Linked DNA regions of Drosophila melanogaster. The protein of the gene in region 2 interacts with the protein of the main gene of each other region in a pairwise test. Each region holds a gene or a part of one and is shown on either strand. Other genes may lie near its edges. The genes, in order: Cwc25, RAF2, CG13032 and CG5478.

Region 1 (4,256 bases), on a different chromosome or scaffold from region 2:
GACTTTGTCTGCGGCGACAAGTTCGCCGAGAACGCTGCCGTCAGCGAGGCCACCGTGGAGGCCGGAATTCCCGATGGACACATGGGTCTGGATGTGGGTCCCAAGACCCGTGAGCTCTTCGCGGCACCCATCGCACGCGCCAAGCTCATCGTGTGGAACGGGTAGGTGTCACACTGAAGCTACTTCTCCAAATGTCCTATAATGGTTTTCCCATTTTAGACCCCCCGGTGTCTTTGAGTTCCCCAACTTCGCCAACGGCACCAAGTCCATCATGGACGGCGTGGTGGCCGCCACCAAGAACGGCACCGTCTCCATCATCGGCGGCGGCGACACTGCCTCTTGCTGCGCCAAGTGGAACACGGAGGCACTCGTCTCGCACGTCTCCACCGGAGGCGGCGCTTCGCTGGAGCTCCTGGAGGGCAAGACACTGCCAGGCGTGGCTGCATTGACCAGCGCCTAAGCGTACATATATACGGTATATTAATGTTAATCGCATCGTTTACCTTGTAAGCACAAACCACGACGTTAAAAAGTGTTGAATCTATTTGTTGCGGAACCATATAATGCATACGAAATAAAGGAATCCTAGTTTATTTGCGGGCAAAGTTGCTGTCCATTGAGGAGGCGGTGCGCTGTATGTTGTTGAGATTGGCCCGGATGCGATCGCCAATTGAGTTATGGTTGGCAATGGCCTTCTTCACCTCCTTGTTAATGAACTCCTTGTCGAAGTCTCGTTCACGATTTTGGGCCTCCTCGCGCGCGTATGCTTCTCGGTGCTTGCGAACCACCTGGCTGCGATCCGCTTCTCTCCAAGTGGCGTTGTCCATCATTTCGCGCAGGCGAGCTTCTCGGTCGGCTTCGCTTAACTTTGGCTTGCCGGTGGGACGGCTGGGAGGCGGTCTTTCGGCAATCCTTCGCTTGTCATCTCCTTTGGAACTTCGGCTCCTGCTGCGTTTTGATCTGGAACGCTCTTCAGGTGTCCTACTCCTGCGTTTCTCGCGCTGCTTTGAAGTGTCCTTGCTTTGACGTCTGGCTTTTCTGTCCTCTGGGCTCCTGGTTCTTCTCTGTCTTCTCGCTAAGGGACTTCTGCTCCTGCTCCTGCGCCTTTCCCTTCTCTCTTCTGGACTCCTTTGCCTTTGCCTTTGTTCCGGACTTCTACTCTGTCGCTTTTTTCTATCCCGGGGGCTTCTACTCCTGCGTCTTTCTCGCTGATTTCTGTCCTCTGAGCTGTGGCTCCTTTTGTGCTTTCTCCTTGGCTCTTCCTCTTCGTCACTACTTTCGTCACTGCTATCGCTGCTTTTCTTCTTCTTGGATTTCTTGCTCTTTTTCTTCTTGGTGGCCATGTCTAATTGATTTGAAATGGTGCGGTACTTGGCGTCCAGCAGCTTGTCCAGTTTAAGGTCACCTTGGTCTCCCTTGAGTTTGCTCACTTGGCGGGCTAATTTTCTGTCCAAGTCATCGTCGCTATCATTGCTCTCGCTGTCACTACTTTCCTCATTGCTGGATCGTCGGTTCTTCTTCTTCTTTTTGGATTTCTTAGACTTTTTGTTCTTCTTGTTCTTCTTCTTTCCCTCTGCGGCCTTTTGTTCCTGTTCAGTCTTGAGAATGCGATGGATTTCCTTCAGCTTGACGGGGTTCTCAAGCAGCTTTCGACGGGATTCCATTTCGCGCTGCTTGATGAGCATCAGGGGATCCTCGAGGGTCTTGCGCTGTATGTCCACCTGTTCGTTGGACTGCACATTGCGGTAGGTCCGGATGGAGAAGGGCACACAGTCGTGCTCCACATGGTTGATCGTTTGCTTGAGACCCACTGTGTTCTGCTCCTGGCGGCTTTCCTCCGCTTGCAGCGTCTCAAAGGACTTGTCGATCTTACGGCCCAGGAGGTACTCCTCGCGGTTGATCAGCTCTGTGCTGTCTGGAGCAAGATAAATATGTATGGATAATGAGTTTTATAAGAGTTTCACATGTATGACTCACTTTTGTACATCCACTCCAGCTTGGCCTCGCCGGCGGCTCCGCCATTATTGCTCAGCACTCCGGAACTTTCGCCCAATCGCCTTAGTTCCTCTCTGTCCCGCTCCTCGTTGATCTCCTTGCGCAGATCCTGCAGCTTGCGCTCCTCCATCTTCGCTTGCTCCTCCGCCTTCCAAACGCGCTCCTGGTTTTTCATCGTGTGCGGATGCCATGATTTCTTCAGATTCTGCGGGAAAAATCAATGGTAATTGACGGATAATCAGTTGGGAGACATTACTTACTAGATCTCCGCCACCCATCTTGGGTTTGATTTGCGTTTTAACAGCAAAACAAACAAATTACAAACAATTCCAGATTTTCCCTCCTTTTCTGTTGTTTTCAACAAAATCATATGTTCGCCCGGGCTGCCAGATCGTGGTGAAGTAATTTAACTTGGTGTTGCCATAGGGTTACATTTTTCTTTTACTTTTTCGAAAATTATTGAAAATAGTTAATTTAGTTACTTATTTTCATAATTACTTCCTCATCGTGCATTGTATTTTCAGTCAAAAACAGGTAATAAATTTATTTAATATGCTTCCAATTCGGCAGAGTTTATACCAAAGAGCTCAAACTCGATTTACAAAATTAAGATTTCCAAGATTTTTTAGCAAAGACGATTGCAATGGAAAGCAAGTAAAGAAGTTGAGCTTAAAAAATGTAGATGTGGCTGGGAAAAGGGTTTTTATGAGGTGAGTATCCTTGCCAGATATGTTTTAGTGTGTGATTTATAAATTTATTTTTAGAGTGGACTTTAATGTACCCATGAAAGATGGCAAAATAACCAACAACCAACGAATTGTTTCCGCACTTCCCAGTATTAAATATGCCTTGGACAAGAAATGTAAGTCCTTGGTGAGTTGATATATCTTCCTTCAATTCCTAAAAAGTATAGAACGAATAACTTAATTTTTTGCCTAGGTTTTGGCATCCCACTTGGGGCGTCCGGATGGCAAAAAGAACAAAAAGTTTAGCCTGGAACCCGTGGCCAAGGAGCTGGAGAGTGTGCTGGGCCAGCCGGTTCAATTCCTGGACGACTGCGTGGGTGATAGCACCCTGAGAGCTTTGAAGGATCCCTCCGACGGCACTGTGTTCCTGTTGGAGAATCTTCGTTTCTATGCCGAGGAGACGGGCAGCAGCAAGGACGATAACAAGAAGAAGGTCAAAGCAGATCCCGCGAAGGTGAAGGAATTCCGAGCCAAGTTGGCGCAGCTGGGCGAGATCTATGTGAACGATGCCTTTGGAACAGCACATCGTCCGCATAGTTCCATGATGGGCGATGGCTACAAGGTGCGAGCGGCTGGTTTCCTGCTGGACAAGGAACTGGAGTACTTTGCCAAGGTTCTCCACGATCCGGCCAAGCCCTTTTTGGCCATTCTGGGTGGCGCCAAGATAGCCGATAAAATTCCACTGATAACGAACCTCCTGAACAATGTAACGGCCATGATCATATCCGGTGGCATGGCCTTCACCTTTCTCAAAGTGCTCAATGGCATGGAGATTGGAAAGTCCCTCTTCGACGAGAAGGGATCCGAGTTGGTCAACGACATAGTCTGCAAGGCGAAGGAGAAGGACGTGAATATACTATTTCCGATTGACTTTGTCATAGCCAATAAGATCGACAAGGAGCCGGATAAAGTGGAACATGTGGATGCCACACAGGGCATACCGGAGGACATGATGGGTCTGGACCACGGCCAGGCATCCAGTCAGATGTTTGCTGGCGCTATTTGTGCATCCAAAACCATCGTCTGGAACGGACCGCCAGGCTTGTTCGAAAACGAGCTATTCTCCAAAGGCACCGAGTCCATGCTGGAGGCAGTAATCGGGGCCACTAACCGAGGAGCCACCACAATCGTTGGTGGTGGGGATACGGCCACCGCTTGCTTGAAGTTCGGAGGCGCCGACAAGGTCTCGCATGTGTCCACCGGTGGAGGAGCTTCCCTGGAGTTGCTGGAGGGTAAGGTTCTGCCTGGAGTGGCTGCTCTTTCGGATGCCTAAACGCACTGCTTTACAATGGTTATTCCACTTATATGTACATGTATCTTAAATTCAATTTGGACAATTTAAACAATCAGTCTCTCAAAATACAAAGTTATTTTTATTGTGGAATAACATTAGTCGGTTAAAACGTGATAAAAGGGCGGGCCTCGATCTCGTGCAGCACTACTTTCCAACTATCTTTTTACCTCCATAGATTTGGTCTAAACTTAAAATTTATCATGTTCCTCTTTCTCGCAACA
Region 2 (6,739 bases):
GGCAATATGCCTACAAGTGCGTCACGCCCTCCGCCTCGGCCGGTGCCGTCTGGAATCCGAATCTGAAATTCCGGCTCTACTGCAGCCGGCAGCTGCGCATCCGGAAACTGAGACGTGGTCCGTGGTCCAGGAGGCAGCCACTCCGGCTGCATATAAATGACATCAAACTGATGTGCCAGGTGCGCAGGCGCAGTAAATAAATGAGGCGATGGCAAAGCCCTAAATGATCTGAAAAAATTCCATTATACGAATTATATGTTATCAAAGTTTAGTCGAATTTCACAGAAAATTCTGTTTGAAATTTGAACAATAAACTTGGCGCCATTTATCGATAGACCAAGCCAACCAGTTCTGCAAACGGTAAAATTTTATATTTTATAAGTACCAATTTTAAAACACTTTCTATTATTGTATTAAAACGTCTCATCATTTTCTTTATTTTGTTGAACTAATACTTTTTGGTTCAATAGTCTTCCCAAAAATTAAATAATAAGTGCTTGTAAATAAATATGAACTTGTTTATTTTGCCTTTAGCATGGAATTACATCCAAAGAAACAGAAAATAAATATATTAATTCTTAAATAGATATCTTTTATGTAGCAAACAAGAAGTCAAGGATATTTAATTTTCAAACAAAAAAAGTGGGAAAACGAGGAACATTTTATCAATACGATTTTGAAACAAAATGAATTTCGCGCGTTGTTCATAAGCAAATTGGAATCAATTATTAAGGAATTATAATTATTATATTTAATCCCTACCAACTTATAATAGCTAGGCATATTACACTTTAAATTGTGCTTCATTGATTGAGTACAATTGCAAGCACTTAATTCAATAAAACGCAATTGAAAATGGTCCGCCAGTGTCCTGTGTCCTTCAGTGAGTTACACGGTTGAGTAAATATATAGTAGTGCATATGCGATACGTCTATATAGTTATGTTTTAGTAATGCTGATGTCCTAAGTGAAGTCTATTTAAATGCCACAAGTTCGGTGATGTGTGTCCCAATCGCTCAGCTATAACGAATGTATTATAAAAGATAGGTAAACATGAGTACTTTTCCTTCAATGCGTCACTGGATAAAACAATTTAAAAAAATGCATAAAATACATAATAAATCCTACAATGCTTACCTGGCATTCACGACTGCAGTACCATTGATTCTGACAGTTGGAGCACATAAAGGTGGCTCCATAGAGCTTGCACTCGTGGCATTGTCTACCTGTGTTACCGTTGATGGTGGCGGAAGATTCAGCCTGGGACTTATGGGAGCTCCTATGCTTGTGAGACTTGTGCTTATGCGACTTGCGCTTGTGAGACTTGTGCCTCTTTTGGACATTCTCATGGTCGTTGATATTAGCGGAATGTTGTTCTTGGTAGGACTGAATAGAAACATTTATTTTCGCGGAATGTCAAAAAATATTGTGATTAAGTGCATACCTGTCTATTGGCCAGTTGGCGACGGGAGGCCATCGGACTGCTGTTGAACAGCGGTTCGATCTGTGATTCATTATCCGAATTATTGTCCTCCATTGAGACGTTACTAAAATGCGAATAATTTTTCCAAGCCCTAATCTTGCGAAGCGTCTCTGAAAGATTGGCTGACAAATGTGTCGAGGAGCTTGCCATGTCCTGGTTACTATAAATTATATGACGTTAAAATAATATGTTCTAGTATATTATTTGTATTTTCTCACCTGTCTTGCGAGTGGATTAGCTTCGGTCGCTTGGCTGGCGGATCTCTGTCTGGATTGCTATCTAGCAGATGGTCATTTACCGCATTCCGAGATTCGTAATGCTGATCCCGCATTGATAGATGACTTACGGGCAAGGAATCTCTACGAAAAAGCATTTGGTCATCCTCGAAATTGGCCGGAGACACGGACGGTGCGCGTTTATTTAAGCCCAAGGAACTGAAAACGATCAATTTTAACTTGGGATTCTCAGAATTAAACATTTAAAGATTTACCCCCGCAGAAGCTGTATGATGTTCTGGTTTAACTCGGCGTAATTCAGTAATTTTTCAATTGCCGACAAACTATGTTTGGAGGCCATTGGAGAATCGATTTCCTCTTCTAGCATAGCCTTTACCTCACTGAGCTCCTTGGTGCCGCACTTGTTGATAAGGATGGGCAGTAGGTCCTTAATACGTATCAAGCGCTCCTTTCGCTCCATTCGTTCATGCAGCTCCTTCTTAATGCAGCTCAAATACAGCAGTCGGTTATATTCATCCTCTTTCTGGGCCATCAGCTTATCTAGGGCTGCAAGATCCGCAACGATGCGTTCGCGCTCTTTTTTCAATGAATCTTCATCAGGGGGTACCGAGTTAATTTTATCAATCATTGTCGAGTTCAATTCATCGAAAAGTTCTTTGACGCGATAATGGAAGTTTGCATCACTATTATTGAGATCAACGAATGACTTTTGGCGGGTTGTCGAAGAAGAAGCCGCTGGTGACCCCAAGCCCTGCGTCTGGGTGCTCACCGTTTCCGATCGACGGGGTTGCGGCTGTTGGGGCACCGCAAAGTTGGGAGCAGCCACTGGAACAGGATGCAGTTGAGATGGCGATTGATGGACCTGCTGTGATTGGGCAAGCTGATGTGGACTAGCATGCCTTTGAGGGGTCAACGGCTGCACCGAAGCTGGTCTTGATGAATCTGGCTGCTGTGGTGGAGGAGCTAGCTGCTGTGGTGGAGGAGCTAGTTGCTGTGGTGGAGGAGCTAGCTGCTGTGGTCGAGGCGCTAGCTGCTGTGGTGGAGGAGCTAGCTGCTGTGTTGGAGCTAGCTGCTGTGGCGGAGCCATATGTTGTGGTGGAGCCATATGCTGTGTGGGAGCTCGCTGTTGTGGCGGAGCCAGCTGCTGTGGCGGAGCTCGCTGCTGTGGCGGAGCTCGCTGCTGTGGTGGAGCTAGCTGCTGTGGTGGAGCTAGCTGCTGTGGTGGAGCTAGCTGCTGTGGTGGAGCTAGCTGCTGTGGCGGAGCTAGCTGCTGTGGCGGAGCTCGCTGCTGTGGTGGAGCTAGCTGGTGTGGTGGAGCTAGCTGGTGTGGTGGAGCTAGCTGCTGTGGCGGAGCTCGCTGCTGTGGTGGAGCTAGCTGGTGTGGTGGAGCTAGCTGGTGTGGTGGAGCCAGCTGCTGTGATGGAGCTAGCTGCTGTGGAGATGGTCTATGTTGAGCCAGGTGCCGTGGTGGAGCGAATGGAGCTGTAGCCAGTTGCTGTGGAGGAGCTCGCTGCTGTGGTGGAGGAAGCTGCTGCGGTGGAACTGATCTTGGGAAGTGCATCTGTTGCACGGGGGCTTGTTGTAGTGGAGCAACCTGAGATGGAGCTCTCTGCGCGAGGGCAGCCACTTGTGGTGCAGCAGCATAGGATGCAGCGACTTGGGATAAAGCTGTCTGTTGAATCGAGAAAGTCGCATTAGCTTTCATGTTATTTGACAGCTTTTCGTTGGGATAGGATATCTGCATTTGGGTGGCCGTTGGCGGTGGAGTATTTAAACTGTAAGTGTCAGCTTGCTTGGCGGCAGTAGGCGGAGCCAGGGTATACGGTGTGCTCAGCTTAAAAGCCTGCTGACGCTGAAGAGGATTAGTCGATGGAGTGGTGGGCATTCTTAGATTTAATGGTGGAGCTGCCTCCATTGGCTTCTGTTGCTGCACCGTTGAAAACCCAATTATATTATCATCCTCGACTTCATTGTTGCGCTTCTCTTCGCTAGCGGGCGGTGTTACCGAACGGCGTCTTTTAAGAGTGGCATCAACCACAAGCGACTCTGCCTCATTTGGCGCATCTCGCGACCGGTCCTTTAGAGCCTGTTCCAATTCCCGACACGCTGAGAGTTTACCGTAGTCGAAGACCGGTTCCTGGGGATCCTTCTTTACCAGGAACTCGTCGAGGATAGAGGCACCGTTTTCGTTGTTTCCAAGTGGGTTTGCTTTCTTCCTTTCTGGCAGCTCGTAGTTTAGTTGGGGTGGAGCCGGAAGCGTAGGCTTATTTTCCTTGATGGGCGTAACCCTTGCCGGCTCTTGCTCTGGTTTCTCAGGCGAATCCTCGTTCTCCGTGTCGTCAAGGCAAATGAGTTCCGGCGAACCACTGCCGCTGCGGCTGCGAGAATAGCTACGACTACGACTGCGACTGCAACTTCGGCTAAGACTGCGGCTGTGGCTGCGACTACGACTGATGCTCCTGCTGTCGTAGGTTCTGCGCTGCCTGTCATGGAAGCGAACCAGGTGCTTCAATTTACGCTTGGGCAGCAAGTCCTTCAGGCCGTCAAAATAGCTGTTGTAGTCCATTTTATTGGGTCGCAGCCTGAAGTGTGATCGGATAAGATAGGATTACAGTTTCAGTAGGTTCTTTGGGAAGTAAGCCTTACCAACGAATACTGCGACGCTTGAAGTAAAGATTGGGCAGCCTGCCACGCTGTAACTGCAATTGCCGGATCCGCCGAATTGTTTCTGAGCGCGTGGAAGGTGGCACCGCATCGTCATCTGGCTTTTCATTTTTCTCAGTGGCAGCCGCCGATTCTGGAGCTCCATTTCCGGGTTTCTCGGACTCGGATCCCTTGGATTTTGTCTTTTGGGGTCGTTGCTTGCTCACCGCCGCGTCCATTAGAGCGTCGTATTCCTCCTCCTCGTGGCTATACTCGTCGCTACTTAGCTGCGAATTGGAGGAGTCGTAGATCTCGTTGGACATTAGGCCTGCAACTGGACGACGGTCAGGTATGTACATCTTTTGGCATTAACCCCCTCAAAAACTCACGCGCTCACGTCTGCAAATTTTTGGCCAACAAAAAATCGTCTGCCGGTTGAATATTCTAATCCGCCGACGGGCTCACCTTTTCAGTTGCTGAAAACCACTTAAAACAATGGCCCAAGTCCCCAAATAGGCTAATTCGGGTTTATACCAGTTTTAAAGCGTTTACTTTCAGCAAAAATCCAATTTCCAAATGCGAAAAAAAATTCGCCGTTCAATTCTGCGAATAATTTTGACAGGCATTTAGTATGGACGCAAACCAATAGGGTAACCACTTTTGGGAAAGTCTTTAAATAATACTGAATAAAATATGTTCTTCCAACTAGTTCTTAGTTAGGTAAACCAAGCAAACAAATTTTTAATCTTATTAAATTAAAGTAATCTAGTAATCTTATTAAATATTACTAGTTTCGGGGTATTCGGTCATTTCATATCTAAAAACCAAATAACTATATTAGAATAAGTTACTCACTAGAGTTTCATTTTTTGATTTATGGAAAAGTTAGCGTAGATCAAAAATCAATCATTAATAAGCTATAAGTTGTAGTGCAGATCGTTAGCCAAATTATTCAGATTTCCTTTACAACATTGCAACCTGACAGCCCTGGTGGCAAATATTAAATATTGAAAAATACTAAAGGCAAAAGTGGCGATTTTCCGTTTGTTCACCGGTGTCATCGTCATTGCACTCGAACGGTCATACCGTTTGGCTTACAAAAGAAAACAAATCAATTCGCACAAAAACATTGCCAAAAAGGTAAATGGCGGGCACGACGCCGCCGAGTGATAACCATATAGTAGTGACCAGTGTTTAGCAACCGATTCCCGCCCAGTGACACTCGTAAACAAAGGGCACGACCGACAGTGTCTGTATATATATGTGCATATGCGTAACAGGGAATAACCGATAAGAACGGCGCAGCTGCAGATAGACATACCTTTAAATAGGACTTTGTTTATTGATCGTTTGTGGGTGGCTATTGCCTTGCAGATCGCGAACTGATAACCATAAATGTTAACCACGTCACGCCACCCCACGCCTCTCCCAAACACACACACTCGCACACGTGCGCCAGCTGAGCACATGCATACGTATATGCATGCTCACACGCACACAATCGCATGGTCGTGCACAAGAACTCTTTTGTTGTATGTAAAGTGGACGATCGAAAAAGTAAACTAATTCAATACAATGGGTTCAGCAATCAACGTCGGGGTCACCAATTGAGTGCATCAAAAATACAATCAATTCGGCCCGGCGAATTTTCGGTTGATTCAGCTAATGGCGGTGTGCATAAGAAATGGCATGAAAAGTACTCCTTTTTTCATTGGATTTAAATCCCATTATCATAGGAAGAAATAAGAAATTTAAAAAAAGCAGTGCTTGTCAACTGAATGCATTCATTTCTATTACAAAAACGTAGTGCGTTCCATTGTGCATGTAAATATATGCAGTCCCAGTTTTATATTACGTGTCAAAACAAAAGATTGACCTTTATCATTGGTCGTTTTACAACCATTGTTTATAACTTTGTAGAAATACAAATAAAAACTTCTTTGATAAACTTTATCCGCTGACATGTTTTAAATCATAATTTAAGTAAATCATGATCATTTAAATAATAATCTCAATATATAATACCTATTACTTTAGTTTATTTAAAATCCGAAAATCGTTTCGAAACTTATTTAAATTTGCTTAAATTGAAATATCTAAAATATCCGAAGCCAAGTATTATTTAATAAGAAATATGAATAGCTAAACGCCTTAATGAAATGATTTAATTAGTTTAAAGTTTTAAAGTTGTCGTTTTTACTCATAATTAAAACGGTCGTAAAACTTTAGTACTTTTTTAAAACATCTCCATGTACAAAATGTAAAAAATGACACCTAACTGTCATCAATTTTTTGCTAAACTGTTTGCACACTTTGGTCCCCATAAACCCACTCATTCTAAAGATTATTGACTTTCGCGAGCTTCCACTGTGAAGTG
Region 3 (4,640 bases), 290 kb from region 2:
AAATAGATCGTAATTAAACAAAAATGCGAATAACAAATAAATCTAGGCAAATGTGTAAAGCTTGTAAACTTATATTAACTCAGTTACTAACTACATATAGTCTTGAAAAACAAAGAGCCTAATTATTTGTTCATAGGGCGGGTAAAACTAAATGAGAATATATTTGACTGCAGGGTATCAAATTGCGAAACGAAACCAGACAAAATTAAAGTACAAACGGCTACCATTGAGTTATAAACACTTAGAAGAGCTACCAAGTAGTTAGACTACCAAAATAGACCATTAAGGGTGTTAGTTACCTGGGCAACGGTCTGTTCGGCAATGGGAATGTCATCGTTGCGCAGATCAACGCGTTTCACCACCGACGAGGGATCCGCATCCAGAATAATGCTATTTGGAAAACGGGTAAAGGTTTAAATAGAATATTTGTATTTAATAATATGTAATGCATAATATACAGTGATGAATGGCAAAGTATATCTTTTTGTACCTCAGGTGATTTCTAAAGCTCAGCCTATAAACTTAAAAACTTATACGAGCTGCATGCCTAGGATGCCAGTGCTCGTATGTATTAGTTTAATCTTTAAGTTTAATATATTTTAATATTTAGTTTGATTTATATAATTAAACTTTTGTACCTATACCCTAACATCGCAGTTATCATATAACTTTTCATTGGACTTGACTAGGTTTTGTTAAAAAAAAGGAAGCTTTAAATGCGGTTAACTACTTAGAGGCTTCACTTGAGCTGGCCTAACTCATAGACTAGTAAATAACAATGTTATTTATGGGAACTTGTGTAGTAATAATTTGATGTTTTCTAAACGAACTGCTGCTAATGAAAGCTGCTTTAACTTGGTCCCTTGTTCTTTCCATCCATCACTGTATACGCTAATACACACCCTCCGTCGCAGATCTCGTCAAATGCCAGCATGATGATCTCCAGGTTTTCCAGCACCAGGCGCTTCTCAACGTTCTTCTTGAGGATCAGGCTAATGGAATCGTAGAGGCAGTTGAGCACGGACAGCAGGATGAGCTCGTTCTCGTAGGCGTTGCCCATCACGTAGAAGAAGAGGTCCACGTTGCTCTTGTACACGCAGGTGAGTCCGTCCAGCATAATGATCTCCGTGTTGGAGCGGTGCGTCTTATTGAACAGATTCTTTTCGAAGGCCTTCTGCTCCTTCAACGTGGACAGGATGTTCTTGTCGTAGTACTTGGCCAGGATGCGGTTGCCATCGTTGTCCATGATGCACATGCCCTTGATGATATCCTGCAGCACATGTTGGGTTTGATTTTAAGCCAGTTACTTGTGTATTTTGCAATTTACCATCATAAATCCGTCCATCTTCACTTGTTTTCGTGTCTTACACGTCACTTTAGTATGACCATATTGCGACCGCTAAATTATACCAACTAAACAGTACTGCCAACTCGAGTCACAAAATAAATAGCTAGATACAGTTAAAACTATCTAGAAAAACTGTTAAAATTTTTGAATTTTAGCTAAGCCGTTATCGTTGTTTTATTATTATATTTTAAATTATAATTTGAAACACATGGGGGGCTGGCTTGCTTGACGTTGGCCGTACTTTGCTGGGGTATTTAAAATAAAATAATGTAAATGTAAAAAAAGAATAACGGTTTAAATGTAAATTATCCTGTCTTAAATAAAACAACAGTTTGGAAAGATCAAGAAAAGAATTGTCAATGTCAATTTTATTATTGCAGAAACTCTGTTTATTTTTAACTTACCTATTATTGAAGAAATCCTGATTATGACAAGAGTTCCAAATTTAAAAATTGCCTTGCCTTTGATTTGTCTGTTTCAAATGAGGTTTAAATTTGAATAACCTAGAAACAACTGATGACAACCAAAATTTGTGAATATTTTAGTAACAAGAACAGGCACACGTACAAATTATTTTCGCCCAGCCAACGAAATTGTTAGATTCAATTGTGTATATTTTTATGTGAACAACTAGAGGGCATTGCGATGGAGACTTTGCCGGAAGAGTATGTAGCCCATCGGGATCAGGAGCTGTTGGGGTGCAAAGTGGGCCGTTCCTCTCGACGTCGGCATGACCATGATGCCATGGCCGCTGCCCATGTGGTGCTGACCACCGCTGTGGTAAAACCAAAGCCAACAAAGCCGGAGTCCAAAAAGCTGCGCAAAAAGCTATCCGAATGCGAGCAGGAGAAGCAGTCACTGGCCCAGGCCATTCATGAGAAGAATCAGGAGATATCCGACCTGAAGAAATCGGTTGATTCGCTCAACGAGGTGCTCAACTCCGTGCCCATTGATGAGCTGCGCTGCAACTCCTCCATTGCCAGCACCAAAATCCTGGAACTGAGCAAGAAGAACCGCCAGATGCGTTCCGAATTGGAGCAGGCAAAGAGTCGGCTGGGTAAAAAGGATGCTCAGATCGAGAAGCTGGAGAAGGAGCTGCGTGCGCACGAGGAGAAGCTGCAGCATAATCAGGATCTGCCAAAAAAGGGCTGCTCCCCCGATGAGCTCCAAGCCAAGATCAACAGTATGCAGCAGAAGCTCTTCGAAACGCGAAACAGGAACACCGAGCTACAAAGCCAACTGAAACTGGCCCAAAAGTGCCTGCAGCACGAGATCGGTGAGAGCTGCAACATCAACATCCTGGCCAACAATCTTAATCAGGCCAATTGGCGCGGTCGTGCTCAGCAGATCATCGCGCTCAACCAGAAAGTGCACGAGCTCAAGGCTCGCTTGGATTTCTACGAGGACCGAGCCGTAGATCGAGCCGAATATGCTGCCCCAGTGCCGTTGGGTTCGGATCTGGAGTTGGTAACCGGCAGCTGTCGATCACATCATGCCAGCTCTGAGAGATTAGGTGGAGGCGATGGCGGCGGAGCCACAACGGCCAGCTTCGATCGCTTTACACCGGGTGTGCGTAAAAGTGAGATTCTTCATCGAGCCAAGGTGGAGGCTCTGGAAAAGGAGATTCTTAGCCTGCAAAACCAACTGGAGGATCAACGCAGCAAGACACTCGCCCTAAAGGTGAGGAACAAGAATCTGAACGAGGAGATGAACAAGTACAAGATTCTATACAATGAGCTGGAGGAGCAGACCGACTTCAATGGCACCAATATCAATACCATGAATGACAAACTGAACCAGCAGAGGATTCAGTACGAGAACCGTTTGGACGACATGCGCGGCGAGCTGGTCCGGGTGACCGAGGAGCGAGATCTTTCGCGCCGGCAAATGGAAGAGCTGAGCGGTATGCATCTGGAGCTGCAGACGGTGGTCAAGCAGAAGGATGTGGCCATGGCCAGTCTGCAGGATATGATCAAGAAGCTGGAAATGGACCTGCGCGCCCTATCCGGCGGATTCCTCTTCTCCTGCCGCGAGTTTCGAAAGGTAAAACTCTGTACACTAAAACATAAGCTATTAATTTGCTTAATTATATTCCGCAGGAGGAATTTGTGGGCATCCTGGATGCTCTAGAGGTGGAGAAAAATCAGCTTATGTTGCTCACCAAAACTCTAGGAGATCGTCTGGAGACGGAGAGAGCCAAGAACGAAGCAGCTCAGGAGCAGATTGGCAAGTTAAAGGCCCGTATCAGCCGACTGGAGGTCAAGATCAGGGACCTGGAGAAGGAACTCGATGTGCAGTCCGATAAGAAGAAACGCACCCAGCGAATGGCCGACTACGCCAGTTCGCTGAGTCGCACTTCTCTTAACGGATCGATTGGTTCCTTCTGCTTCGAAAATCAGTCCCAGTACCAGTCCACAAATACGCTGAATTCGGCAGGACAGCCTGAGCCCAGAATAGAGGATCTAAAGAATAAGTAAGTTCGGACACGGCAATCCCATCGCTTAATCAACTATAACTACTTATATTTTCAGTCTTGAACTGGCCAAGGAAAAAATCACAATGCTGACAGAGAAGCTGGAGTATATCACCGAGGAGAAGAACGCAGATGCCAAATTTTTCGAGGACACCATCAACAGTACGAAGACCATTATCCTTGAAACTGTACTTGGAGCTCGCGAAAAGGGATTGAGCGATCGTAGCAAAAATGCAGATAAAAGCACGAGCGAGACTTCCATTCAATAATGAAGATGAACAAAACCACGATTTTTATTTTGATTAGTTTTTATGTTCTTTGCAATGCTAAAAAAACTGGACGAGAAGTCATGCCATATACATATTTATATGTAACTGGAATGTTATTAAACTTGCATGGCATTGCAATGCACATCATTGATTCTGAAGTACCGAAAACAATGAGTTTTAAATTTTCATAAATTTTTATTTGATTTGTAACACGTTCACAAAACGAAGCCTTTGGCGCTGCTTCTATTTCAGGATAAGATTAGATTAATTCAAGTATTTGTTAGGTGATTTCTTTCCACTCGAAGCATTTCCAATTGCATTATGCCTATATAATTGTTATTAATTGCTGTCTATAGCTATGCATGTGTGTGTGTGTGTGTGTGTGTGAGTGTCTTGTAAGTTAAGTTAATAATACATTATATATAGCTTGACTTGCCATAGAAAAACGATCCTGCAATCACATATTAAATTAGTTTTAGTTGCCGTTTGTAAATTGCTTCATTATTTGCGTTAGAAATTCGTTCTCCATTGCTCGCGTATGGTATGAAAA
Region 4 (3,107 bases), on a different chromosome or scaffold from region 2:
CGATGACTCCATTACGGTCCTGGCGAGATCCTGTCCACGTCTGCGAGCCTTGGACATCGGGAAGTGCGATGTGAGCGACGCGGGGCTTCGAGCTCTGGCCGAGAGCTGTCCGAACCTGAAGAAGCTCAGCCTGCGCAGCTGCGACATGATCACGGACCGCGGGGTGCAGTGTATCGCATATTATTGTCGCGGTCTCCAGCAACTGAATATCCAGGACTGTCCGGTTTCCATCGAGGGCTACCGGGCGGTCAAGAAGTACTGCAAGCGCTGCATCATCGAACACACAAATCCGGGATTCTGTTGAGATGTTCCATAGCCGGCGGTAGACACCACAAAGCACAGAGGCAGGCCATATGAGCACAGATATAAAGGGAATTTATGGGCAAAGAAAACTCTTGAAAAACAAAATAGTTGATGAAGTGGCAGGCAAATTTTAGCCATACACGGACTTTTGGGTCCTCAAGTCCCCAAGTCTTAGTTCAATGATTAACCGATATAATCTATTGGTTTGGATATAATTTAAATTGTTCTCTGTAATCAGCCACCACTTTGCCCGAGCTAAATGAGATTATTGTAAATTGTATATATCAAACTGACGCAGGACAGAACTAGCGTAGCATAGAGCATGTTCAGTAGACTATGTCTAAGTAGACTAATTCTTGGAGTAATAAATTATTTTCCCCACCAGAAACGGTTCAGTGCTTGGATTTTGATTTTTTCGCCTTTCTCCCCAGAGCGTCGAAAATGTTTGGTTTCAATTGCGGCACATGGTCAAGGATGTACGGAGGACGTACGTCCATAATTTCCCGCGTGTAGTGGTTGCCGTGCTTGGTCTTGCGCAGCCGATCCAATTCGATGGTAGCCTTTATTGACGGCCTGGAGCCCTCCGCTGGAGTGATCTTTATCTTGGTGCAGTGCCCCCGCTCCAAATAGTTAATAGTGGCGATCAGGGAATGTATATCAGCGATGACGGACGAGGTCTGCTCGTGGATTTTTAGCAGAGCCTTCAGATTGGCATATATCCTGGCCAGCCGTTTGTCCACGGGGGATTGATTATTAGGATCACAGTTCTTTTTCTGATGCGGAACTGAGTACTTGATGAACTGGCGTTCGTTGCCCTTCGGTGGTTCAGGAGTCTCCTTGCACGGCTTGGGCACCAACCGCTCCGACACCTCCATCAGTCGCACCTGCTCATCCAAACTGCTCAAGGGCAGCTTTCGCATTATGCGGCGCAGCTGCTTGCGCTTTTTGGGCGTGAGCAGGTGGTGGTGCTTCTGAAAGCGCTCCACTCCGCGGTGCAAGTTCTCCATCATCTTTACCCAAACGTCCATGCTCCTGCTCTCCGCCTCGATTTCATTCTGGAGTCGTACGCGCTTTGAGCGAAAATGCCGTATTTGTCGTTGTAGCGACTTCGTCTGATTCTGATCATTCAAATGCTCGCGGACCAGACGGTCGTAGTCCTTTTTCCAGTTCGGTTCCTGAATCATTGGCTTAACTAGGGAATTTCGAATTTTTAAAAACGATAACTGACAAATGCTATCGATGACAAAGTAGTCGTGGTAAAAATATTTAAATAATTGGTTTTAAAAATATTTCGATTCTCGATGATATAGCTATTATATATATCGATAGCTAATTATGAAAGCCGTGTACCATCTCCAATCAGCTGTTTCACCTGCTTTTCGCCGCCTGCTCGTTAGTAAATATCTGGAGTAAAAGCTAAAATTTACCTGGTAGCTCAATACAATTATAAATCACATTCGAAATTAAGTGTTAAAAGTTACGTATGCATTTTTTTAGAAGGACGCCTTTTAAATAGTACAATTGGAACACGGAGGGTCACTACGGTGTTGCGTAATTAAAGCGACACGTTTTCTGAGACCCAAAATTAAGCTGTACACATAGAATGCCGGTGTTTTGACGTACGAATCCAAGGAATACAAGAAACCGTCATGGCCAAGTATATCGCCCAGATCATCGTGTTGGGCGCCCAGGCAGTGGGAAGAGCCTTTACCAAGGCGCTGCGCCAGGAGATCGCCGCATCTCAGGAAGCAGCACGACGGGCGGGTGGTGGCAAGCAGGGCGACAAGAGCGCCGAGTCCAACCTGCGCACAGGTGAGTCTTGGACACAGTCATGCTATCTATTTCACTATTTACACCTACTTATCAATGCAGGCATGACGCTGGAGGAAGCCAAGCAGATCCTGAATATAGATGACCCCAAAAACGTGGACGCTATCACCAAGAACTACGAGCATCTGTTTCAAGTCAACGAACGCTCCAAAGGCGGCTCCTTCTATATCCAGTCAAAGGTTTTCCGGGCGAAAGAGCGGCTGGACCATGAGATTAAGGCCCATGAGCAGCCGAGGTCGTCAAATACGGAAGCAGCGCAAGATACGGCGGAGGAGTCTCAGAGCAGATCGCGGCAGCGACGCTGAGTATCCTTGTTGTCCCAATCGAACTAATTAGCTGATAATTGATTTAAAAACTACGTGTTAAGTACAAAAAATGAAAGTCTGTTGCTGTAAATAGAGATTTACGAACATGAAGACAAGTGTAAACACTTTCTGAGAAGAGCTCGACTTTCCAGGAACACAAATGTAATGGAATTCTTGTAAACTAACACGGATTAGCTCAGGCGGTTAGGTATAAATATTTTACTCTCAGGCCAGGTAACTAGAATCGGATCGATTTTAAGATCACGCTTCTTGGGGTTTGAAAATAAAAATATTTTAAGTATCAACAAAGTTCCATGTCTTGATCTAGCTATAGCTAAAATTATGCTGATGTAAATAAACTAATGCTGCAATGGGCTTCCAAACTTTCGCAATAGGAACTTGGAAATTTTAAAATCAGCTGTTGCAGAAGCCAGAGATGCGCGAACATATCGGTAGAGCTATCGACCGACAGCAGTCAGCTGTTCGATGGGCAGCACTGGCCGAGAACAAACCGAAAATAATCATTACTGGTGCGCAGTTGTTGTTTCCATAGACGTGTCAATTGTTTGTCTAATTGCGCCAGCAGCAGCAAAACGACGCCAAAGCACACATGCGCATTCCAGCGCACAAATATCCCACCCACGAAAATCGCAATACCATCGCCCCAGC

The links.
Region 1: the proteins of RAF2 (region 2) and Cwc25 interact in a two-hybrid assay, tested with the Drosophila melanogaster proteins (one large-scale study listed by BioGRID).
Region 3: the proteins of RAF2 (region 2) and CG13032 interact in a two-hybrid assay, tested with the Drosophila melanogaster proteins (one large-scale study listed by BioGRID).
Region 4: the proteins of RAF2 (region 2) and CG5478 interact in a two-hybrid assay, tested with the Drosophila melanogaster proteins (one large-scale study listed by BioGRID).

The regions. Positions count from the first base shown.
Region 1 is NT_033779.5:2,743,216-2,747,471, reverse strand, and holds Cwc25 (Cwc25), read right to left. Parts: upstream 2,375-4,256; 5' UTR 2,274-2,374; coding exon 2,256-2,273; intron 2,201-2,255; coding exon 1,978-2,200; intron 1,916-1,977; coding exon 591-1,915; 3' UTR 528-590; downstream 1-527. Other genes in the region: Pgk (phosphoglycerate kinase), read left to right, coding at 1-161, 220-460; CG9961 (uncharacterized protein), read left to right, coding at 2,548-2,705, 2,760-2,868, 2,935-4,014.
Region 2 is NT_037436.4:16,384,583-16,391,321, reverse strand, and holds RAF2 (RING-associated factor 2), read right to left. Parts: upstream 4,996-6,739; 5' UTR 4,752-4,995; intron 4,697-4,751; 5' UTR 4,686-4,696; coding exon 4,366-4,685; intron 4,302-4,365; coding exon 1,974-4,301; intron 1,918-1,973; coding exon 1,702-1,917; intron 1,644-1,701; coding exon 1,445-1,643; intron 1,387-1,444; coding exon 1,138-1,386; intron 1,021-1,137; coding exon 979-1,020; 3' UTR 506-978; downstream 1-505. Other genes in the region: CG44836 (uncharacterized protein), read left to right, coding at 1-200; Agpat3 (1-Acylglycerol-3-phosphate O-acyltransferase 3), read left to right, coding at 5,868-5,894.
Region 3 is NT_037436.4:16,672,155-16,676,794, forward strand, and holds CG13032 (uncharacterized protein), read left to right. Parts: upstream 1-1,809; 5' UTR 1,810-1,993; coding exon 1,994-3,391; intron 3,392-3,447; coding exon 3,448-3,821; intron 3,822-3,879; coding exon 3,880-4,090; 3' UTR 4,091-4,110; downstream 4,111-4,640. Other genes in the region: zetaCOP (coat protein (coatomer) zeta), read right to left, coding at 300-390, 903-1,270, 1,328-1,345.
Region 4 is NT_033777.3:15,932,200-15,935,306, forward strand, and holds CG5478 (uncharacterized protein), read right to left. Parts: upstream 1,536-3,107; 5' UTR 1,488-1,535; coding exon 696-1,487; 3' UTR 501-695; downstream 1-500. Other genes in the region: Fbxl7 (F-box and leucine-rich repeat protein 7), read left to right, coding at 1-304; blp (black pearl), read left to right, coding at 1,953-2,115, 2,176-2,438.